4 linked regions of the Macaca mulatta genome follow. The protein of the gene in region 2 interacts with the protein of the main gene of each other region in a biochemical or structural test. Links are inferred from orthologs where the notes say so. Each region holds a gene or a part of one and is shown on either strand. Other genes may lie near its edges.

Region 1 (5,903 bases), on a different chromosome or scaffold from region 2:
GGGCTTACCACTGTGTATGCATATGTATGTCATATCTTTCTTTGTATTTATAAATATTTATTGTGAGTTAAATATACATACTGAAGAGTCTACATAACATATATGTATGCTTTAAAAAAAAAATAAGAAAAAGAACACCTATATGTTGTCCACCCAACCAAAGATCTAGAAAATGCAAGTACTTCTAAACAAAATATTTTTGCTTCTGCCTGTTTCGAATTTTAATGGCTGGACTCCTACTATACGTATTGTGCTGAGACTTGGTATTTTGTGCTTAAAATTTTGATGAGTTTTACATATTTTTCATTTAACCCTCACAACATGAATAAAGTTTTGCAGATGGGGAAACTGAGGTTTGAAAGGGCCAATAGTTTGACAAGAGTCACTTTCTAACAAGTGGTAGAAGTTGAGTTAGAACATAGAACTGTACCTCTCAAAAGCTTAGCCACTGAACTGTACTGAAACTAACCGCTGTACTGAACTCACTGCAAAATCATGAAGAAGAAATAAAGTCACTGCCTCGCAAAGTTAAAAGTTTAGGAACACAATTGTACCCTTTCCCATTGCCCAAACTCTGCTGTATTCACTGAAGTTGCCAGCCCAAGTCATACAGTCCTGTGGAGTTATTAGGAATTTTACGTTTTCCTATAGAAAGGATTTGTTCAATTCTCCTGCCAGATGAGCACATGTAAAGAATGTCCATTCTGATTTCTCTGAAACTATTGAATTCTAAAGTGCTAATCTGATGACTATACCAGCATATCTATTTTAAGATGGACATAAAATGGACATACAGTAAGTGCCAGCAATTCCTGTGTTCTTTTTACCATATTAAATAAAGATATCTTTCACACAAGCAACTGTCAGTAGTAATGTTTTACTTTAAAGACTATTATGCCTGATAGTTCCTTTTGTTTTATACCTTTTGCCTCCTTAATTTGGCTTTAATGATCAGTCATAATCTGCTATGAATTTTAGGGATAAGAAGTTGAATGAATGTGTACATCACATACATTCATTTTCTATTCTTTTTTCAGTTTAGTTGAAAGTCACACTGTAGACCTTTAGATTGTTGTTTTGAATAGAAAGCTCTCAGTGAGACTGGAGCGTTATTACAGAAGACATTGCTTGGTGAATTACTCCTATTAAGGGTCTAATTCCCAGACGGTACCCACAGTGAGGGAGTGGAACCTTCTTTTAGAGGCTGACTCATGGAATCCTATAGATAAATGGGAACACCAATTCATTAGCATTCATTAGCCATGAGAAACTCAACGGTAAAAGGCCATGAGAAACTCAATGCTATAAAGGACTGGAGATTTGCATCATTGGACAATCAAATGGGAAACCACTTTATGAATGGAACTTTGCAGGAGGAACAACGGAACCAGAAAAGTGGGGAGCTCTTGGCTGACTCCCAGTAGGAAAGACCTGTCACTGGGACTAGTCATCTCTAATGGTTAATACTTACCTTAGCAGGCCAGGCGCAGTGGCTCATGCCTGTAATCCCAGCACTTTGGGAGGCTGAGGTGGGCGGATCAGCTGAGGTCAGGAGTTCGACACCAGCCTGGCCAACATAGTGAAACACCGTTTCTACTAAAAATACAAAATTAGCTGGGCATGGTGGTGCATGCCTATAATCCCAGCTACTCGGGAGGCTGAGGCAGGAGAATCACTTGAACCCAGGAGGCGGAGGTTGTGGTGAGCCAACATCATGCTACAGCACTCCAGCCTGGGCAACAAGATCGAAACTCGGTCTCAAAAACAAACAAGCAAACAAAAAAACTTGCCTTAGCATATCTTGGTTTAGTCTCCTTGAGCTTCCTTCTTCTAAGCCTTAGCCTGGCCATCTTCAGGAAAACCTGTTCTTGCTTATCTATGCCTACATGTAATATGATATTTAAAACCTGGATTTAGACTCAAACTTGGCTGATTTACCAGCTCTGTGATCTTAGTTAGACATATGAATCTTCTAAGCCTCAGCTTCCTTATCTGTAAAGCAAGACAAATACTCTCTTCCCACAGGTGTGTGGGAGGATTAAATGAGATAACTTTGATACATTTAGAACAGTTATGCACCAAACTCTATTCTAAAGACTGCTGTTTATCTTATGGAGTCAATATCATCATTTTGTTTTCCATCCCACATTGCCAATATGAAGTGTATATTTATAACTGAGAATCAACTATTTTTACTGAATGAGGAATATTAATGAGAATGATTTTAACCAAAACAGCAAACGGTGGCACTGGTGTGCTGTGTGTGAGAATAGCTCAGGAATACCAGAGGGGAAAAGGATTTCAGAATCAATAAGTACTTTTGTGAGCTATTTCACAAAAATGACATGAAAGAAAATATTTAGAGATACGGAAAAGGTCAAACTAACCTGAAACTCAGTTTTATTGACAAAAGTTTAAGTTACCTTTAGCATATTTCATCATCCCATAATCAGGACCATCAATAAATATTTACTGAGTGCCTACTGCAGTCAAGACACTGCAGTGTGGGCTGCAGTTAATGTCCAGGTGATGGGAGAATTGCTTAGAAGTACAAGCAATTGTACTTTCCTGGATGACTAAAATCTAATTGGAGAGTCAGGCATAGCATAAAAATAAATCTATAGAAGAAAAATCAGTAAACAAAAGTAGCCTACAAAATTTTCCCATGTTTTTTGGGATGCACTTATATGGCTTTAAATTTTAAAAATATTTTGAAATATAAAGCTTAAAAGAGTGAACAACTTGGGTCATCATACTTTTTTTTTTTTTTTTTTTTTGCCAGAACCTCACTAGAGGAAGATATTAGATTGGATGATATGAAAATGTCAATATTTAACCTTTTTTACATCCAAAAAAACCCCAAAATTTCATGTGGTTCAACCTTGATTTCAGTAAGCTATTTCTGAAAGCTGGATACATGTTGAAATATGAGTAACATTTGCAGTCCATCTACTCTGGACTCATGCTAATTCCTTCTGGGGCCTTTTCAGATTCAAGATAGATTCGCAGGAAAAAATGCATAATATTTAAACTGACGGACTGGAAAATTAGCATGAAAAGTTCACCAGTGTTATGGAAAATTTCACCCAACACATTTCGTAAAGAACAAAAACCTAAACACACATGGTAGATCCACTTCAGCAAATCATGTTAGTGCAGCAACATTATCCAACAACAAAATTTTAGAACAATTTTCTCCCCAAGGGACTCATTTTCCTTAGAAAATTATGCAAAGTGTGAACAACTGTGAAATACAATTGTCAACCAAAATATTCAACTTGACAACAGATTGAAAACTGTTACAATGTAATATAATTTACAATGACTAAAATTTTAATTTTAATGGGTAGTACCCATAAAAGTTGTCTAGTTTAATTAATTTCCCTTTTTCATTGGTGCTGTGGGTCTTAAATTTGTATTTTGCTACATCTTTATAAAACAACTTTAAATTCTCACACATTAAATTTCTCTACAACTGTCTATCTAAATCAGAGTTTTTAATGATAAAGACATGTGATGCCCCTGTATGAATAGACAGAGAAAAAATTAAAACGAACAAAAAATGTATTCCCCCTGTGTAAGATATAGACGTTTTTTATCATTGAAGACTTGTTTGGCTAACTTTACAGTCCAAAAATTCTCCTAATTTGAAAGATTGTCATTATAAATTAAAATCTCTGAAAACCTCCAGACTATGTATTAAGTCTTTGAAGATATCAACATTGTGCCCATATATATCCCATAGCCTTGCCTTGGTATCACCTTGTGAGACACAAATGTTCTTTCTATGGCATGTGCTTTTATCCTGATGTGTGAGGCCTTGGTCTGATAACCTCCTTACATAGTCATCTTAATATTCAGTTGCCCAAGAGAAAGTTAATAGAGTAGAAAAAATTAAAACTTACCTTCTTTGGTAGCTACAGAATATAATTCACAATCAAAGGGATTGGTATCAGATTTTGGAGATATTTGAGGCTCTGCGATTATTTCTCTGACTGCTTAGAACCTTAGAATCTACCAAAATAAAATCTATTAATCAAATATTTTTTTTGGACTAAGCTTACACAGTTTGTTCAGGCATTGTTAGCATGTCTGGAAGAGTCATCTCTGCTTTCGGGAAAATTACGTTGACTGAAAGAAAGCACAAAACAATCGTCTCAAAACCGTCAGTAATTTTTCTAAAGGATGTCAAATGTGCACTTCACAGCGAGGGAAAATGTTGACCAATACTGTTGTTTGTGATAAATACATCACATCCTAGTGAAAATGTGGTATAGCAGGTAACAAGTTTCCATTCTGTGCACTAGAACTGAAAAACTGTACCTAGAAAGGATATTCTGAAAAATACTAATTATAGGGACAAAGCCTTAATATTCTTAATACAAACAGCTCTTAAAAGTCTATTTTAAAAATGGAACATGTGAACAGAAAAACTAATAAAAATTTACAAAGGACAAAATAATGGAGACCAGTAAACATAATTTTTAAAGGTCACTGTTAATTGGAGAATTTCAAATTTTTAAAACTGTGTGCTATCAGGTTTTAAATATTTATGGTGGTTATAATGTAGGAAGTAAGCATTCTCAAACACTGCTGGCGAAGTATAAAATATTACAACCTTCCTAGAGCACTATGACTTTATTCAAAATCTTAAAATACTCAAAGGAAAAAAAAGAGCTTTCTTTCACCTACAGTTCAAAATAACATAACTTAAAACTATATTATTCCTAGGCCTATATATAACAAGACATCTTCAAAATGTTGCCTTCTTATGCATGAATATGATGTAATTCTACTTATTTAGATCTTCTTTAATATTTCTCAAGAAAATTTTGCCTCTAATAAGTTTTTCTACATCTTATGTTAGATTTATTTTCTAATGTTATTGTCTTTTTTCTGGTATAGTGAAATGACATTGACTTTTGTATATTAATTTTATATCCTGCCTTCTTGCTGAGCTCTCCTACAATTTCTAATAATTTATCTGAAGATTCTTTGGAGTTTTTTATGTAAATGTATATATCATCTGAAAATAATTAGTTTCATTTCTTCCTTTTCAATCCTTATATCTGACTCTACAATTCTCTAAATTTTTGTCATATATATTTTGAGGCAGCTTAATTGGGTATGTATACATGTTTAGAATGGATATTTCTTGGTGAATTGAAACTTTAACCTTTTGACTTCCTCTATTACTATAATGTTTTTTATCTAAACATGAGCTTTATCTGATACTAATACAAATGCACCAGCTTTCCTTTGTCACTCTCTGCAGATTTTTCCATCTTTTAATTTTCTGGTTACGTGTATATGCTTTAGGTATGTTCACACGAAAAGCATATATCCAAATTTTTTAAATCTCATTTAATAGTTCCTTTCTTTCAACTGGCAAATTTAACCTATTTATAGTTATTGTGATAGTGATACATTTACACATCTTTCTACTATTTTATTTTACTGTTTCAATTTGATTCAGGATTTCTATTTCTTTTTAATGCCTTCTAATTCTTAAAAGTTCTGTGTTGATACCTTTCCCCAGCAAGTCAAGAATTGAGCCCGATCTCACATCCCTTGGCCTTCTCCCATGTTTTCATCAACCCCCTTACTGTTGATACAATCTAGAATTTTAAGTTTGAATAATATTAATGAAGTTTTCCTTTCTATATTCTTTGGTATTTCCCATATTTTTATGTCAACAAACTTTACTAAGTCATTTGACTATCTTTATTTCAAAGCATCTCGTGTGTGTGTGAAGGTGGAAAGTCTTGGGTACCAAAAAAATTGCAGTTGATCATTCCCTTCCCCATTAAATACCCACTCCTGTTGGTGCTTCATTTCCAGCTCCCTGCAGCCTGGCAGCATTAGTGGAAGATTTTTTTTTTTTTCCCCAGGTCATTTTTTTT
Region 2 (5,769 bases):
GGTGAAGCTCCCTCCTGGACCCAGAGCCGGTTTTGCCGGAGTGGGCGAGCCTCTTTATGCCGTGCTGCCCCTAGCCGACTTCGGCCCGCTTCGCGCCTCGGGCTGGGCCAGGGCGCACGCGGGGCTCGGGGCCCCTCGACCCCCGGGGTGGGAGAGGCCGGGTGATAGCTCCGGGCCCCATAAATCATCCAGGCGGCCGCCGGGTCGGGATTTTATGAATGAAAAAGCAGCTGGGCCGCCCTCGTGCGCGGGCTGATGCTCTGAGGCTTGGCTATGCTGGGGCCAAAGCGATTATGGGTGCTCGGGGAGTGGGGGGGACACGACCGTGGGTGCTCCCTGCTGGGGCCACCCATCGCTCCCCATGCGGAATCTGGGGGTAATTACCCCCCAGGACCCGGAATATTAGTAATCCTAATTCCCGGCGGGGGAGGGGGCACGGGAGGAATTCACCCTGAAAGGTGGGGGGTGGGGGGGGTCGCATCTTGCTGTGAGCACCCTGGCGAAGGGGAGGGGACTTTTTCTATCCGTTTTCTTTGAGCTTTTACTGTTAAGAGGATACGGTGGTTTGATGACACTAAACTATATTCAAAAGGAAGTAAATGAACAGTTTTCTTAATTTGGGGCAGGTACTATTAAAATAACAAAAACAAAAGTTAAGACAGTAAAATGTCCTTTTATTTTTTAATGCACCAAAGAGACAGAACCTGTTATTTTAAAAACTATGTATTTTAATTTACATCTGCTTAAGTTTGCGGTAGTGGGGACCCTCTCATGAAACCACGAACACCTATCGATTTTGCTAAAAATCAGATCAGTACACTCATTTGTTTAATTGATAATTGTTCTGAATTATGCCCGCTCCTGCCAGCCCCCTCATGCTCACGAATTTAGTCCCAGGGCAAACTCTAAAGGTGAAGGGACGTCTACACCCCCAACAAAACCAATTAGGAACCTTCCAGTGGTCTTGTCCCAGGCTGAGGCGACTAATATTTCCAGCAATTTAATTTCTTTTTTAATTAAAAAAATGAGTCAGAACGGAGATCACTGTTTCTCAGCTTTCCATTCAGACGTGTGTTTCTCCCGGTTAAATTGCCGGCACGGGAAGGGAGGGGGTGCATTTGGGGATCCCCGCAAGGACCGACTGGTCAAGGTAGGAAGGCAGCCCGAAGAGTCTCCAGGCTAGAAGGACAAGATGAAGGAAATGCTGGCCACCATCTTGGGCTGCTGCTGGAATTTTCGGGCATTTATTTTATTTTATTTTTTGAGCGAGCGCATGCTAAGCTGAAATTCCTTTAACTTTTAGGGTTACCCCCTTGGGCATTTGCAACGACGCCCCTGTGCGCCGGAATGAAACTTGCACAGGGGTTGTGTGCCCGGTCCTCCCCGTCCCTGTATGCTAAATAGTTCTTGAAATTTACACGTGTTAATGAAAATGAAAGAAGATGCAGTCGCTGAGATTCTTTGGCCGTCTGTCCGCCCGTGGGTGCCCTCGTGGCGTTCTTGGAAATGCGCCCATTCTGCCGGCTTGGATATGGGGTGTCGCCGCGCCCTAGAGTCCCCCCTTCTCGTGGTCTCCCCAGGCTGCGTGTGGCCTGCCGGCCTTCCTAGTGGTCCCCTACTGCAGAGCCACCACCACCTCACCCCCTAAATCCCAGGGAACCCACTCGAGGCGGACGGGGCCCCCTGCACCCCTCTTCCCTGGCGGGGAGAAAGGCTGCAGCGGGGCGATTTGCATTTCTATGAAAACCGGACTACGGGGGCAACTCCGCCGCAGGGCAGGCGCGGCGCCTCGGGGATGGCTTTTGGGCTCTGCCCCTCGCTGCTCCCGGCGTTTGGCGCCCGCGCCCCCTCCCCCTGCGCCCGCCCCCGCCCCCCTCCCGCTCCCATTCTCTGCCCGGCTTTGATCTCTGCTTAACAACAGTAACGTCACACGGACTACAGGGGAGTTTTGTTGAAGTTGCAAAGTCCTGGAGCCTCCAGAGGGCTGTCGGCGCAGTAGCAGCGAGCAGCAGAGTCCGCACGCTCCGGCGAGGGGCAGAATAGCGCGAGGGAGCGCGGGGCAGCAGAAGCGAGAGCCGAGCGCGGACCCAGCCCGGACCCACAGCCCTCCCTAGCTGCCCAGGCAGAGCCCCAGCCATGGAACACCAGCTCCTGTGCTGCGAAGTGGAAACCATCCGCCGCGCGTACCCCGATGCCAACCTCCTCAACGACCGGGTGCTGCGGGCCATGCTGAAGGCGGAGGAGACCTGCGCGCCCTCGGTGTCCTACTTCAAATGTGTGCAGAAGGAGGTCCTGCCGTCCATGCGGAAGATCGTCGCCACCTGGATGCTGGAGGTGCGGGGCTTTGGGCGGCTCTCTTAAGACTTCCCTGCAACTTGTTGCCCAGACCCACGTTTCTTTGCTCCTCACCCCCCTCCCTTCTCTCCCGCTAGAACTTTGAAGTTTGCTGTGGTGTTGCTAGGGATCCGCATTTTAAAAATAAAAATTGTGGGTATTTTCTGAAGCAGGAAGGGGTGGGGGTGGGGGTGCTATAAGTTGCGTTTCGTGGGAGGGGAGAAGGGGGTTGGGGAGGGGTGCCGTCGGGAGAAGCCAGTGTCGGGGCACCCCAATGGGCCCGAGGGTGCGGGCTGGCAGGCTGAGTGCGCTTTGTGCCCCCCGCCTGCGCCCCAGCCCGGCTGCGCCTCCTCTCGCGGCCGCTGCGGCCGAGAGCCGCCAACTCCGGGGGGAGGGGGCATAGATTTGATTTTTAAATTAATATCCATGGACACGTATGCAAGGGCCGCTCGTGCCAGTATTATGCGCCATCTTTGCTCTTTTATTGCAAAGCAAAAGTGTTTATTAATAATTGGGGGCAGGGTGGGGGCGGGGAGCGGCCGCCGGGCGCTGGGGCCGCAGCTAGGGGCCGCGCGGCCGCCGGGAGCCCGCGGGAGGGGCGCAGGGACGCGGCATGGGGAGTTTTGGGGGGACCCCGCTCGGGAAGGGGGGCCCTTTGTTTAAGCAGCGAGTCCCGGGGCGCCCCAAATGGGCAGCCAGGGCCGGAGAGCACGCCGAGCTGCAAGGTCGCGTGGCCCCCAAGACGCCAGGGCTTGATCCCCGTCTGCAGGGATCTCGGCTTGGGGGACCTTCTCTGAGGGAGCCGGGGGCCTGGGAGCACATTTTCAGACCTTCGGTGGGCGCCTGAGGGGCCCGCAAGTATTTTTAAATAATTTTTGAAAGTGCGGCGTGGTGCCCTTGCGAGAGGGAAACGCCGCCCGCGCCCAGGGGGAAGGGGGGCCCCGGAGTTTGAATTCCTGGGGCTCCCCCCGGAGCCTGTAACGAACTCCCGACCCTCGGCCTGGGTAAAGGGTCGCCCGAGGGTCATTTTCAGGGTTTTTTTATGCACTTAGTTATTTTTTTAATATTTTTAAATATTTTTTGAAAAGATGACGTCTGGGGAAATGCGGCGCGGCGGCCTGGGACGCCACCTTTGTGTCTCGCAGGCGCGGCGCCCAACCCCGCGGCCCGTTCCGCGGCCCCGCACCCCAGTGGGTGTCGACCCTCAGTCAGAGGGACCACGGAGCTCCAGGGCGGGCCGGGGTCCCCAGGGCTGGCAGCCCGCGCCGCCGCGCACGCCGCCCAGCTGTGCCCGCTCCCGCCCCCACCGTGCCAGCCTCGCGGGGACTTTCCCTTTCAGTTTCGGGGAGGGTGGGTACTGGGGACGCGCGGGGGAGGGGGCGCATCACAGGAAGGTCCTTCCGCCCCCGGCCCCCACCCCTCGGCGCCCTTCAGAACTGGCGGTCCTGCCGAGCGCGATGGGGGGGTGCGGGGGCGGGGGTGGGGCGGCGCGACCTGGCGGCGGCGGTCACGGGCCCCGTGCCTCCGCAGGTCTGCGAGGAGCAGAAGTGCGAGGAGGAGGTCTTCCCGCTGGCCATGAACTACCTGGACCGCTTCCTGTCGCTGGAGCCCGTGAAAAAGAGCCGCCTGCAGCTGCTGGGGGCCACCTGCATGTTCGTGGCCTCTAAGATGAAGGAGACCATCCCCCTGACGGCCGAGAAGCTGTGCATCTACACCGACAACTCCATCCGGCCCGAAGAGCTGCTGGTAACCGCGGGACCCCGCCGCCCCCTGCCCCCCGAGAGTCGCACGCAGGATCACGGGGCCGGGGAAGGTGCAGGCAGTGGCGGCCGGCCCGCCTCTGGCATATCTGCTCCCAGGGAGGGCGGCCCCGCCGCCGGGCGTCCCTGTCCCGGGAGCGGGCGGGATCCTAGCCGCCCCCGTCCCACCGCCCCCAAGTCGCTTGCCTGCGACTCCCACCGCGTTCGCGCCCGGCAGTGTGGCCGAAAAGTGGGCGGCGCGCGCCCTCCAGCGGCTGCACGAGGAGCGCCGCGCTCCGCACTGAGCCTCCTGTTTCAGGTGGTGGGAGGTCTTTTTGTTTCCACTTGCAGAGTCTTTTCACGCAGCGGGCACCTTTTCTGTTTTGATCTGGGATCGCGTGTTGCCCCGGCTCCCCGATACCACCCCCATCATTCGCCAGCCCTCCCCTCCCACCTCCAGGACCGCACGAGACGCAGGAGCCAGTGCTCTGAGCCGGAGGTGCTGCATGGCCCCGGGCCCCCATGCTGCCGGCTTCCCCGCGCCCCCGGGCCGGCCCGCACCTCCCCTGATGGCCGCTCACCCTGTGTTCGCAGCAAATGGAGCTGCTCCTGGTGAACAAGCTCAAGTGGAACCTGGCCGCCATGACCCCGCACGATTTCATCGAACACTTCCTTTCCAAAATGCCAGAGGCGGAGGAGAACAAACAGATCATCCGCAAACACGCGCAGACCTTCGTTGCCCTCTGTGCCACAGGTAGGGTAGGCCCAGCAGCCCCCGGCCTCCGCTGGAGAGCCAGCTCCTTAGGTGACCCTGGCCGGCTTCTCGCTCTCCACCGGGGTGATGTCTGGGAAGATGTCCCTAGGCTCCCTCCTGCGCTGGGAAGCGCTCTTCCAGCTCTGGTGAGCAGAGGCCCTGGATTATTTGTTGTGCTGGATGGAAGGGGATTTGCTCCCTCACGGCCACCATGCAGTACCTTGGGCATCGGTGTGGACAGCTCGGCCTGCCTGTGTCCAGCTTCTGTGGCCTCATCCTCCAGGCCAGGCAGCCTGTGGCCACTCCATGCTCAAAGGGGTTTACCTTGGCTGCAGGGCCGCCTCCTTTCCCCACCCACCTCCAGCCCTTCTTGTGTCCTTAAGGAGCCTGAGCTGCAGGGCCCCCTCCTGGCCTCTCCCAGGCTGGGCCACCTGCCAGAGACGCCTCCAGGGGCGGGGAGAGCTGTTGGCCCGCCTGCACCACGTGCTCTGGGCAGCCGAGTGCAGGGGTGTCCAGCAGAGGAGCTCTGCTGCCTGAGGCCCTGCCAGGGGTGCTGCCAGCCAGCCGGGCTCAGCTGAGCCCTGGGGGGTGCTTCAGAGCAGTCTCAGCTTGGGCCGCCACCGTAGGCAGCAGAAGCACCCAGTCCTCACTTCCCCTGGCATGGCCCCAGAGGCCCCTCCTTGACATGGCCCTGGCCCCAGAACCCAGTGGGGACAGACACGCACATACACAGGGTGCTGCCTCCTGCTGTCCCCAGCCCTGCCTCTGACCCCCGTGTGACTGCCTCCTTTCCTGGCCCAGGAAGCCTGGTTACCCTGATGGGGGGGGTATGTCCCCATCCCACCCAGCTCTGCTGTGGCCCACCTTTGCTCAAGCCTCAGTCATCACATCTGTTTGGGGGCTCACTCTGGGTGACCTAGGCCGCAAGGCCCAGGGGGCCTC
Region 3 (5,941 bases), on a different chromosome or scaffold from region 2:
ATTTATTCAAATAAATTCTAGCCATGATGTGCTGGTTCCTATTTACTGGCAATTATTTCTGGATTATATAAACGTGTTAATTACCATCAAGTAAACCTTGTTTTAAAAGGCAAATGGTAAGTGTGAACAATTATCCAAATGGAGGATTCCCATTTGTGTCTCTGGCTTAAAGTCTAGTGATTTGTAGTGATCTAATATTTTATGTAAATATAAAATCTAATGATTTGCCTTATTAAATTTATAAGATATATGAGATTATAGATAGCTTTATAAATACAAATTTTGTTCAGAAAACTGGATCTTATTTTAGAAGACATGCTCTTAACACAAATGTATTTTATGAATTATCTTAAGCTTAAAGACATACAATTATTCACTTTTATTTTTAAAGAAAAAAATATTATAATGCATTGCAAAATATGTGCTACTGGAAATGCATCAATTTTTTATTTCCCTAGCCTTACCTTATACTATAATATAGAATCAATTTTATAAAGGCAAAAATTTGATTTACTATGAGATCAGTAACATGGTTTTAAAGTCAAAAGATTTATAGAAGTAGTATGTCCAATTCAAACAGAATTTTGCCGGGTTTTAATTTTTCTACAAAGCACTGAAGTAAATAATTTTGTGAAAAGTTTTTCTTTAATATGTTTTAAAGGGTTTCAAGTATTCTACAGATAGAGATTTTGGGGAGAACACCAAATTCTTTCCAAAAAGACAGCTATTTCAAGTTTTCTTTTACTCCATTGTAGAAGGTTTTAAAGACTTTTTTTCTCCAAAAGCTCATTTTCACCTGAAATAATTGTATTCAAGGGTTTCTCAGCAGGTAAAGTATACATTCTTACAAGGTTTCAAATTTCAGATTTCCAATAATGCATTTAAACTGAGCACTCCTCTTTCTGTGTATGTATCTATTATCTGCAGTTCTATTATTTACACTAAATTTTAGTCTTTTTAGCTCCTCTGAAATACGTTAGTGAACCCTCAGCAGTTACTAACCACTTAATAATTGTGAACCCGCCAGCCCCTTCAAGTAGATCGTTAACCATAAGAGTGCCTGACAATTTCCAAACCATACCCTCTGTCTAAAAGGAAAAGATAGGGCTTTGTGAGGCAGAAAGGAAGCGAAGGAAAACAAAACAAATGTAGCTCATGCTGAAAGTGAAAAGTGCTTGAACAGATTAGTATTTTCTTTTCTGCAAGGCATCCTGCCAAACTTTTTCTTTATTTTTTTAAGAGAAGAGTTATTTTTTGGTCTGATTTTTCAGTTTCTTGGAAAGTATTGGTATTTACCACCCCCATCGGCCCTTCATAATTATTGTTAGTTGTTTTGTGTTTTTCCCATCCGTCCACGTCACACAGTGAGGATACCCCCTGCTTCACCCTGTCAAAACCCCAACTCTGGGCGACCCTGGGTTTGGAAACTCCGCCGACTCCCGACGACACGTCCCACTCTCTCCCACTAACGCCGCTTATTTTAGTCGCAGGATCCCCCTACTACAGTTTCAGTGAAAGCCGGAAATTTTCATTTAACTCCCCTGCCCCCCCAACCCCCCCGCCCCGCGCCTTTCTAGCCCCCGACTCGTAGAAGGGAGCTAGGGAGCCCGGAGCTCGGAGCACTGCCGGGGCTTGGCCGCCTCCTTTCTCTCCGGAAGGCTTTAATTTGCACACTTTCTTGCCACTGCGCCACGAGCCCCCAGCCTCGCCGCTGGGTGGGTCTCCGGCAGAGTTGGCTTCTCGGGTCCCTGCCCCCACCCCGCGCGGTCGCCCCCGCTGCCTCCCTGGCTGGGGCCCCCAGCGCCGGCCAGAGCCCCGCGGCCCCCGTCCGCCCCCAGCTAGCGGCGCGGGCGGCGCCCTCCGCCTTCCCTCCGCCCTCCGCCGCTGTGCCCACCCCCTCGCCGGAGAGAGTGCTGGTAACTCCTTCCCCAGAGTCTGATTACCTGCTCCGCGAGGCCGCGGACACGTGCGGAGAGCCGACTGACACTCGCAGCCCCCTCAGGAGGCCCGACGCGACTGGGCCCCTCAGGTGAGGAGCTGTGCGCTCGGGTGGGTGGGCTGCGGGGTGGGGGGTCCCTGGGGAGATATGGGGGATTGGCCGGGGTCCGAGGCAGAACTGTGGGTGGGGTAAGTGGAGGCTGGCGGGGGGTGGGGGGGACCTGTGTTTCCCTGGAATCGGCTTTGGTTAACCCCTTACGAACTGAGACGGCGTTGGTTATGGGGGCCAGTTTTGGGGAGCTAGAGGATTCTAATCTGACGAGAGGGGGAGATCCTACGCTAGGGACACCCGCGACACCGAGATCCTGCTTCCACGTACCCGTGCGCACACACACTCACACAGAACACTCCTCATCCAGTTTCTCCAAACGGAACTGGAACTCTACTCGGACATTCACATAATAATTCACATTTAGGGTTCAAAATGCACTGCCTCTAGGGACTCCATGCTGGAGAATGTGCTTGCATTTCCCCCACGAAAACTCCCTCGCCAGCTCGCTGAGGTGTGGGTGTGGGCTCCACCTTCCCCTCCACGAGATAAATGTTAACGCAGGCTTCCTGCGGGCGTGTTATGCACAGAAGAGTGCACGCAGCCGGCCGGTGCCCAGGCTTGGAGCCCCACGAAGACGCACGTTTGCTTTAGTTTCCAAGTTTACTTTTATCATTTAAAATATTGGAGTTAAACACACGCCCCGTGGTGAGCAGCCCTTGTCCCCGCAGGGCGCCCGTCCGTGTGCATATGGGCGCATCTGCGTGTGCGCACACGCGGGAGTCGCGGTCCCCGGTGTGGCCTCTTGTTGCCGTGCTGGTGGCGACCCTTGTGGTGCTTGGCAGGCTTCGGGAGAGGCGCATGAAGGATTTCATTGAGTGTGAAGACAGAGAGCAGAGACAGAAAGCAGAAGGAGGCGGCTGCAGCCTTTGTAGTCGCGGAGGAATGCGGAAATGTTGAAGCACTATGTCAAACTTTTTTTGAAATGGGGTCAAGTCACATTCAGCCAGCGTGGGAAAGCAACAACAACAACAAAAAAAAAGTGGAGGAGAGGGGGGGAAAAGGCATTGCTGCTCCCGTTTCTCTCCGCCGAAGCCGACCGTCTGGGGGGCGAGTGGGGGGAGAGTCAGGGTAGTGCGGGGCCCGGCGGGGGCAGCAGGCGAAGTTCCCTGCGGGGGTGGGACGTCCCCGACGCTTCCTTCGCTGCGGAGCCCGGGGCTAGACTCGAGCGGGAGGGGGATGGGGGGACGCAGGAGAGGCGGGTTGGGCGGCCGGCGGCGGCTCCCCGGCTACCTGTGTGGCCCTCGACCTGGCTCAGACGCCCGGGCAGTCCTTGGGGGCTCTTTCCTCGGCTTTTAAGGAAAGTTCTGAATGGAGTGAGTGCCAGAAGCACTGCTTTCGCCGCGGTCCGCTCCACGCGCTCATCGTGGGGGTCGCGCCGTTTGTTTAATTCCTGGCAAAAGGCGAGCGGGGCAGCGGTTGCGAGGCAGGTAATTCCGAGGTGCCCCGGGAATTCCGGACACGCGGCCAGCGTGGTGAAAGTCCTGCCGAGGCCGCGGCGGCCGTGGGGGAGGGAGGCTCCCTAGGTCCCAGATAGCTGCTGAATGGGGAGGGAAAGTTAGGGTACCCTTCTCCGGCGCTTTGTTATGCAGAGGGCTCCGGGGGCGTCCGGCTGCAGCCTGGACCCGGCCTTTAGCCGGAGAGGGAATGGGGCAGCCACCTCCGCTACCTACAGCGGGGTGGTCCTGGGAGTGGGAAAAGGTTCGCGAGTCCGGGCCCCGAGGGCAGAGACCTTGTTTCTCACCCCTGGAGGCGCAGGGTTTAACCCCCCACCCCCCACCCTTTGAAAGAGAGGTTGAGTTTTGCTCAGGTCGAAATCAATTTAAAACTTCAGGACGAGGCGCGATTAAGCTATCCTCTTCCTGAAATTATTCTTTAAGAAGACGACAAGCGAAATTGTGACGAACACCCCTTTCTCCCACCCTTGGGATCCCGTGGGGGACAGTGTCTCCCCTCCCCCAGGACCTCTCGTTCGCCCACCCCCGATTAGCCCCAACCCTCCCCGACCAGATGGCTGGTCTTCCCAAGGTTTCCACCAGGGAGGTCCTCCCAGTCGGAGAGAGAATTCCGTTTCCAACCGAGACTCCTTTACCCCAAAGAGACCATTTGTGTATGCGAGTCGTTTTTAAATGTCTCCTCGTAGAAAAACTGAAAGTAGAAAGAAAGGAAGCAATTTCTGAGCAGATGTCTGACCACCCCTTCTCGCACACTCACAGCATCGGGTTACAGGGTCCTGGGAGCCCCCACCCACATTCTGCGGCCCCACACGGATGGACCCACAGTCCTTCCGCTCCAGCTTGTGCGCGACCCTTGAACGCCCTCCGGCACCCCTGGACCCCATCTCCCTGCACGTCCGGGCCTCAGGAGGCGGGGAGGGTAGCGACGCAACACAATGATATAGGGATAAATATTAAGCCGTGACATTGACGTGCCCGGCGCCTCCCCTCCCCCGCGCTCCCGGCACACTCTGGGCTGCTCGGCACGCCCCCTCCCGTTCCACTGCGTCCCGCGCCGCTCGCTCATCCCCGAGGGGCCCCTGCAACCTCTCCGCGCGAAGACGGCTTCAGCCCTGCAGGGAAAGAAAAGTAACTTCGCTTTTCTCGGAGGAACCAGGAAGGATTAAGCGGCTTGGGAGAGGGCAGGAGCGCGCGGAGGGTAGCGATGGAGGCTTCGTAAAGGAGGAGGAGGGGAGTCTGGAGGAACCCCGAGGAAGGCTTCTGGGCTGTCTGATTGCACTTTCTTCTTATCCTCCCGTCTCCTCCTTTAGGTGCAATGATTCTGGACTGAGACGCCCTTGGGCAGAGGCTATGTAATCGTCTCTGTCTGTGCTGAGGACTTCGCTTCGGGGAGGGAAGAGGAGGGATCGGCTCGCTTCTCAGGCGGCGGCAGCAGCGACTCTGCAGGCGGAGTTTCGCGGCGGCGGCACCAGAGTTACGCCAGCCCCGCGGGGAGGTCGCTCCATCCAGCCTCCGCAGCCGCGAGAGCCCCAGCGCCCGAGCGCCTGAGCCAGCAGGGAGCAAGGAAAGCTAGACCAATCTCCGGGGAGCCCCGGAGTAGGCTAGTGGCGGCCGCCAGCTAGTTGAGCGCACCCCCCGCCCGCCCCAGCGGCGACGCGCCGGGCGGCGTCCAGGCGGCATGGAGAAGGACGGCCTGTGCCGCGCTGACCAGCAGTACGAATGCGTGGCGGAGATCGGGGAGGGCGCCTATGGGAAGGTGTTCAAGGCCCGCGACTTGAAGAACGGAGGCCGTTTCGTGGCGTTGAAGCGCGTGCGGGTGCAGACGGGCGAGGAGGGCATGCCGCTCTCCACCATCCGCGAGGTGGCGGTGCTGAGGCACCTGGAGACCTTCGAGCACCCCAACGTGGTCAGGTGAGCCAGGGAGCTGCGCCCTTGCAGTCTGGGGCCGCGCGCGCGGGGAGGGCCGAGCCGGGAATCCTCAGGCCCAGAAAGGTGTGGGGCAGAGGGCGACTGGGGAGGTCCTGCGCGACTTGTTGATCTTACAGAGTGAGAGTTAAGTTTTGTCGACAGAGCCGCGAGCCAGAACCGGTGACCTTGCCAGACAGCGAGCCGAAAGACGAGTCAAAAAACATGACCTGCGCAGGCTTCCCTGCAGCTGTGCAACTTAGAAGCGTTTTCTCCGTGCCCTCCCTGAAGGAGGGTCCGGGGGAGGTGGGTGCGTTTTAGGGACAGGATAAGCCAACCGGAGACATGCCCCGCTAGCTCCCGCATATTTTTACTGGCCATGCCGTTGGGGAATTTTTGAAAGACCTAGTAGGTGAGACTGGAGAATGAGGATGCTGTGTGGTAATCAGTGGGAACTTTATGGGTGGAGCCTAGTGTAAATCAGGTTAAGAAGATGCAGAAACATCATAATATTTTTGCCAGTCATACTCTC
Region 4 (5,958 bases), about 2.2 Mb from region 2:
AAATTGTGACATCTGTGCTTGTTGAAGGAAATTTGTAAATTGTGCGCAGAGAAGAATATGAAATTAACATAAATTGTCGCGTTTGGTTCTGCCAAGAGCCAAGAGTGGCTCTGGCCCCTCTCCTGGGTTAACACCCTGTCCTGTCCAGTTCGCCCCCCTCACTTCAGATCTCTCTTCCCCAAGACCCAGAAGACCAGCCCTGCTCCCCCAGCTGCATCTGCACGATGTCACAGCATTTCATGGGGGTGGGGGTGTCTTGGGACTCAGAGGAAGGCTGGTTGGGGTTCAGGGGACCTCACCTTCCCTCCCTCCCAGATGTCTCTCTGGCTGGCTCACAGGCTCACCTGAGATAGGGGCTTAGAGCTCATGGGCTGCTGGACCCTCCAACAGGTGTCTGACAGTCCCCCTCCCGACCTGGGAGGCTCCCGGTTTCAGGAGGGGGCTTCCTGCCTCATGGTAAGTGGGTCAAAAGGGAGGCAGCGGGAAATAATGGTCTCTCTTGGTCTGGCCTGGCTGGGGTGAAGCACTGTGTGTGTGTGTGTGTGTGTGCGCGCGCGCGCGTGTGTGTGTGTGTGTGTGCGTGTGCGCACGACCAAGGTCTGTACCAGGAAGGGCTGCAGGCGGGGGAGGGGCATGCTTCTTCACAGCCCCTTCCCCTGTGACCTCGGGCAGATCTTTCACTTTTACCCAGTACAACTGCCTCCAGCTAGCCTGGACAGGCAGATTCCGGGGCTGGAGTGGTCCGGCCCAAGGCTGAGAAGGGCTGGGACCCCCGACAGTGACATGATGGGCTCAGCCTCTGTTCCATCTACTGGGCAGGGTGGACCTCCGCAGATAGCGGCTTCAGACTCCAGCTCCAGGGGGCTGGTGGGAGTCTCTCAAGGTGTCCCACACATGGTCCCACGGGGAAAGAGTGGAGCTGACCCCTGTCCTCCCTCCCGACTCGAGGGCTTTAGGGCCAGCAGGTGTGTGAGGGCTCCAGGTGCGCGGAGCCCTCGAAAGGACACCAGCCCAGCAGCAGCAGGCCGCGCGGGGGCAGCCGAAGACCCCATCCGGCGCAGGCCAGGGCCAAGCTGGCAGCGGCGGGTCCAAGCCCTGTCAGCTGGCGCAGGAGGCCCAGGGGCGAGCGCGGGACGGAGCTAGGAGCTGGGGTCCGGACCGGGCCGGGGTCGAGCTGGGCCTGGCCGGACACTGGACCCGCCGGGAGCCAGCCCCTGCCGCGCAGGGCTGAGGCCCCCGCCTGCAGACAAAGGAGCCGGCGGGGGGCGGGAGCGGGGGGGGGGGGTTTGCAGGGGGGATGGGGCGAGGGGGCGGGGCGTCGCGGTGTCACGTTACCGCCCGCAGCGCCCTTTAACTCCCGCCCCCGCCCCGCTCACCGCCCCCTTCCCCTGCTACAGCGCGCTCGCCCCGCGGCCGCCAATCAGCCGCGCGCCCCGGCCGCGCGCCCCGCCCCTCCCCCGGTGGGTGTGCGCGCGGCCAATGGGCGGTGCTCTGGGGCCGGGCCGCGGAGGGGCGGGGCAGCGGGGAGGCAGCCAATCGCCGCGGTGTTGTTGAAACTGAAAATACTACATTATGCTAATCGCGGCCGGGCCCGCGCGCACGGGGGTGGGGCCCGCGCGTATAAAGGGGGCCCAGGCGGGCTGGGCGTTCCACAGGCCAAGTGCGCTGTGCTCGAGGGGTGCCAGCCAGGTCTGATCCAGCGAGCGAGCCAGCAGGCATCGAGGGGGCGCGGCTGCCGGCCGAACGAGACAGACGAACCCGACGCAGGAGAGTCTACCACCGGACAGCCAGGTAGCCGCCGCGTCCCTCGCACACGCAGAGTCGGGCGGCGCGGGGTCTCCCTTGCACCCGGCCTCCGCCCTCCCCTCCTCTCCTTTCCCCTTCTTCTCGCTGTCCTCTCCTCTCTCGCTGCCCGCGTTCGCGCAGCCCCGGGCCATGTCCGACGCGTCCCTCTGCAGCACATCTACGATGGAGCGTCTTGTCGCCCGTGGGACCTTCCCAGTACTTGTGCGCACCAGCGCCTGCCGCAGCCTCTTCGGGCCGGTGGACCACGAGGAGTTGAGCCGCGAGCTGCAGGCCCGCCTGGCCGAGCTGAACGCCGAGGACCAGAACCGCTGGGATTACGACTTCCAGCAGGACATGCCGCTGCGGGGCCCAGGACGCCTGCAGTGGACCGAAGTGGACAGCGACTCGGTGCCCGCGTTCTACCGCGAGACGGTGCAGGTGGGGCGCTGCCGCCTGCTGCTGGCGCCGCGGCCCGTCGCGGTCGCGGTGGCTGTCAGCCCGCCCCTCGAGCCGGCCGCTGAGTCCCTCGACGGCCTCGAGGAGGCGCCGGAGCAGCTGCCTAATGTCCCGGTCCCGGCCCCGCCGTCCACCCCGCCCCCAGCCCCGGTCCTGGCTCCAGCCCCGGCCCCGGCTCCGGTTGCGGCTCCGGTCGCGGTCGCGGTCTTGGCCCCGGCCCCGGTCCTGGCCCCGGCCCCGGCCCCGGCCCCGGCTCCGGCTCCGGCTCCGGCCCCGGCCCCGGCTCCAGTCGTGGCCCCGGCCCCAGCCCCGGCCCCAGTCGTGGCCCCGGCCCCGGCCCCGGCGCCGGCCCCGGCCCCCGTCCCGGCCCCGGCCCCGGCCCCGGCCCAGGACGCGGCGCCTCAAGAGAGCGCCGAGCAGGGCGCGAACCAGGGGCAGCGCGGCCAGGAGCCTCTCGCTGACCAGCTGCACTCGGGGATTTCGGGACGTCCCGCGGCCGGCACCGCGGCCGCCAGCGCCAACGGCGCGGCGATCAAGAAGCTGTCCGGGCCTCTGATCTCCGGTGAGCCCCGCACGGCCCCGCCCCGGCCCGGCCCGGCCCCGCTTTGTCCGGCCGGCCGGTCCCCCCAGCCCTCGGGGGCCTCGCTGGGTTCCCGCCTCCTCCCGTGGCATTAAAGGGCCCGCAGCGCTCAGGGCGCGGCTGCGCCCGCACCCCCCTCCCCGCCCCGTTGTTATGTCCTCCAGCGGCTTTGCGCGGGCGGGGTGGGAGGCTGAGTCCCGGCCGCGACCCCCCGGGAGCGCGGTCTTCGCCCCTGGCGCGGGAGCCCCTCCCCGGGCGCGGCCGGGCTCCGTGAGCACGGCGCGGAGGGGGTTAAGCGCGGCGGCGGCCCCGGGGGGCTTGGCCGCGGGACAAGGGGAAATGCTTACACAGCACATTGCGCGGCGACGTAAACAAAGCTGACCCGCCGCGGACCTCGGCGCGGGCGGGGACGGCGCCCCCACCCCGGCCGGCCCGCGCCCCGTGCCCTCTCCTGGCCCCCTCTCGGGGCTCCGGGCCGGCCCCGCCCTGACCGGCCGCGCGCGCTGTCGCCCGCAGATTTCTTCGCCAAGCGCAAGAGATCAGCGCCTGAGAAGTCGTCGGGCGATGTCCCCGCGCCGTGTCCCGCTCCCAGCGCCGCCCCTGGAGTGGGCTCGGTGGAGCAGACCCCGCGCAAGAGGCTGCGGTGAGCGAAGTGAGTACAGCGCACCTGGGGGGTGCGGGGGGCTGACCCGCGGGGTCCCCGCCGGCTTTCCTGACCGCCCTTCTCCCCACAGTTTAGAGCCCAAAGAGCCCCGAGGGAACCTGCCGGGGCAGCGGACGTTGGAAGGGCGCTGGGCCTCGGCTGGGACCGTTCATGTAGCAGCAACCGGCGGCGGCTGCCGCAGAGCAGCGTTCGGTTTTGTGTTTAAATTTTGAAAACTGTGCAATGTATTAATAACGTCTTTTTATATCTAAATGTATTCTGCACGAGAAGGTACACTGGTCCCAAGGTGTAAAGCTTTAAGAGTCATTTATATAAAATGTTTAATCTCTGCTGAAACTCAGTGCAAAAAAAAAAGAAAAAAGAAAAAAAAAAGGAAAAAATAAAAAAACCATGTATATTTGTACAAAAAGTTTTTAAAGTTATACTAACTTATATTTTCTATTTATGTCCAGGCGTGGACCGCTCTGCCACGCACTAGCTTGGTTATTGGTTATGCCAAAGGCACCATCCATCTCCCACATCCGGTTATTGACAAGTGTAACTTTATTTCCATCGCGGACTCTGGGGAAAGGGGTCACTCACAAGCTGTAGCTGCCATACATGCCCATCTAGCTTGCAGTCTCTTCGCGCTTTCGCTCGCTCTCTTATATTACTGTGTTTATCTTAAACTTGAAGACAAATCTGTTAAAATGGTTCCTGAGCCGTCTGTACCACTGCCCCGGCCCCTCGTCCGCCGGGTTCTAAATAAAGAGGCCGAAAAATGCTGCAACTCCAGTCTGTTTGTGCTTGTGCCTGCCTCCAGCTCCCTTCTCCTGCACCCCCAAAAGCTGGAGAGCTAGAACGCAGGAGAGAGCAGGCCAAAGTGGGCATCCCCAGTCCATCCAAAAGGGGAAGCCTCTCTCCTGGCTGGGCCTGGCCCAAATCCACCTGCTCCAGTTCCCTTATCTCAGGAGGGGCGGCCGGCCTGCAGTGCACCCTGCATTTATCACCTCCCACCTGCGGGGCTGCAGAAAGACAAGCGTGGGCTTCACATAGCCCCAGCAGGCAGGGAGCACAGCCCCTGACTTGCTGCCCAGACTCAGGCTTGTTTAAAGGAAACCATGAGAAACCCCTCTGCCCCCAGCTGATGGGCTCAGGACCCTGCTAGTTTGAGGATGTGCTGGGGTGGAGGGTGGGGAGCAGGACTCCACCAAGACACATCCAGTCCTACAGACTTTTCTTCAGGCCTTGCACCAGGGTCTCCCTAGGTCTTGCCACAAAACACCCAAAATGTTCAAGGTCTAGTCACACCTGCAGTGGAGGGGGGCAGCCTCGAAGCCTCTGAGGAGAGGGAGAAATGAGAACACAAAGGGGTGGTGCCCTGGAACCAGGAGGGCATGGGGAGGGGTGGTTTCTGATGACCAGGCTTTGGTGGAAGAAGTCGAGGCTGTGTGCCTCCCTGTGCACCCACACTGGGCCCTACCAGCCGACTAGTTTCAAAGCGCTCCCTCTTGGTAAAAGAGACGTTTATTATTTTTTTAATAGCTGACCTATAAACCTCTGAAAATTATGGCTTACAATGGAAAGGGTGACGTAAAATAGCAAAAACAGAACAGCTAGCAGTGTTTTTGCTGGTGCCTTGGGCTAGGAGAAGAAAAGAGCTGGTGGACCCTCATGGGGCCCTACGTGACAGTTGCTGACTTCCCTCCCCGCCGGCCCCGCACTGGGTCAGGGACAAAGGGGGGGCTCAACTTGAGATGCTCGAGATGTATTTAGACATATAATTAACTGAGCCTCCCCCAGCTGCCTGGAAGGGCTGGGCAAGGAGGGCGAAGGGGCTGGCCTCGAGGCCCAGCTGGGGCCAGACTCTGGGAAATGCCCCTGGGACCTGAGAGTGGCAGGTCCCGCTGCTTTGTCTCAGCAACAGGGACCCTCAGCCGATGGTAACGAGGGACCAGACCCATGTAGACCTGGCTTCAACCTTCAAACCTCTCCCCAGTGGAGAAACCGCAGCATTCACCTGTGTGAGCAGCACAAAGCCCTTTCCCTTCTGAGATAAAGGAGGGTGGCAGTGCCTTCTGCCCTGGGCTGGGAGGAGGCTGGACCACGTGCTTGGCAGGCAGTTCGTGGGTGCACAGGGTAACCTGAGTTAACTGTTTCTGGTGACCGATCTGCTAGGGTGGATCCTCATCATCCACAGTGGCATCTGCTTGCTGCCAGGCCTCCTGCTGCAGCCGGGGCTGGTGGGGCTCCTACCTTGCTTGACTTCTCACAGTCCTGGCCCCTGGGCACGGGACATGTGGTTGCCCAGCACCCTCTTATCACTCAAGGGTAGCTTTTTCAAAAGCAGTGTGAGGGCTTTGTGGGGACGTGAAGGTGAGGCCCAGTGCCATTTCTCAGGAGGAGTTTCTCCCCAGGGCAGGAGCTGGCTGCAGGGACCCACAGGCCACCACCCTCCGTGGGCTGCTAGTCACAGGTGGGACTCTGGGCACAT

Evidence for each region. The genes of interacting proteins can lie anywhere in the genome.
Region 1: the proteins of CCND1 (region 2) and ESR1 form a complex in vitro, tested with the Homo sapiens proteins (2 studies listed by BioGRID). The link is inferred for Macaca mulatta from reciprocal best matches to the Homo sapiens genes CCND1 and ESR1.
Region 3: the proteins of CCND1 (region 2) and CDK6 form a complex in vitro, tested with the Homo sapiens proteins (3 studies listed by BioGRID and IntAct, with this or other methods). The link is inferred for Macaca mulatta from reciprocal best matches to the Homo sapiens genes CCND1 and CDK6.
Region 4: the proteins of CCND1 (region 2) and CDKN1C form a complex in vitro, tested with the Homo sapiens proteins (2 studies listed by BioGRID). The link is inferred for Macaca mulatta from reciprocal best matches to the Homo sapiens genes CCND1 and CDKN1C.

Annotation. Positions count from the first base shown.
Region 1 is NC_133409.1:70,390,964-70,396,866, reverse strand, and holds the start of ESR1 (estrogen receptor), read right to left. Parts: upstream 4,039-5,903; 5' UTR 3,906-4,038; intron 1-3,905.
Region 2 is NC_133419.1:5,014,021-5,019,789, reverse strand, and holds the start of CCND1 (G1/S-specific cyclin-D1), read left to right. Parts: upstream 1-1,932; 5' UTR 1,933-2,136; coding exon 2,137-2,334; intron 2,335-3,864; coding exon 3,865-4,080; intron 4,081-4,667; coding exon 4,668-4,827; coding exon of another isoform or gene 4,828-4,857; intron 4,858-5,769. UniProt on the Homo sapiens protein: Regulatory component of the cyclin D1-CDK4 (DC) complex that phosphorylates and inhibits members of the retinoblastoma (RB) protein family including RB1 and regulates the cell-cycle during G(1)/S transition.
Region 3 is NC_133408.1:126,534,613-126,540,553, forward strand, and holds the start of CDK6 (cyclin-dependent kinase 6), read left to right. Parts: upstream 1-1,903; 5' UTR 1,904-2,029; intron 2,030-2,682; exon of another isoform or gene 2,683-3,477; intron 3,478-4,540; exon of another isoform or gene 4,541-4,702; intron 4,703-4,814; 5' UTR 4,815-5,182; coding exon 5,183-5,415; intron 5,416-5,941. UniProt on the Homo sapiens protein: Serine/threonine-protein kinase involved in the control of the cell cycle and differentiation; promotes G1/S transition. Phosphorylates pRB/RB1 and NPM1.
Region 4 is NC_133419.1:2,789,146-2,795,103, reverse strand, and holds CDKN1C (cyclin-dependent kinase inhibitor 1C), read left to right. Parts: upstream 1-1,920; 5' UTR 1,921-1,935; coding exon 1,936-2,803; intron 2,804-3,337; coding exon 3,338-3,468; coding exon of another isoform or gene 3,469-3,473; intron 3,474-3,555; 3' UTR 3,556-3,560; coding exon of another isoform or gene 3,561-3,697; 3' UTR 3,698-4,254; downstream 4,255-5,958. UniProt on the Homo sapiens protein: Potent tight-binding inhibitor of several G1 cyclin/CDK complexes (cyclin E-CDK2, cyclin D2-CDK4, and cyclin A-CDK2) and, to lesser extent, of the mitotic cyclin B-CDC2. Negative regulator of cell proliferation.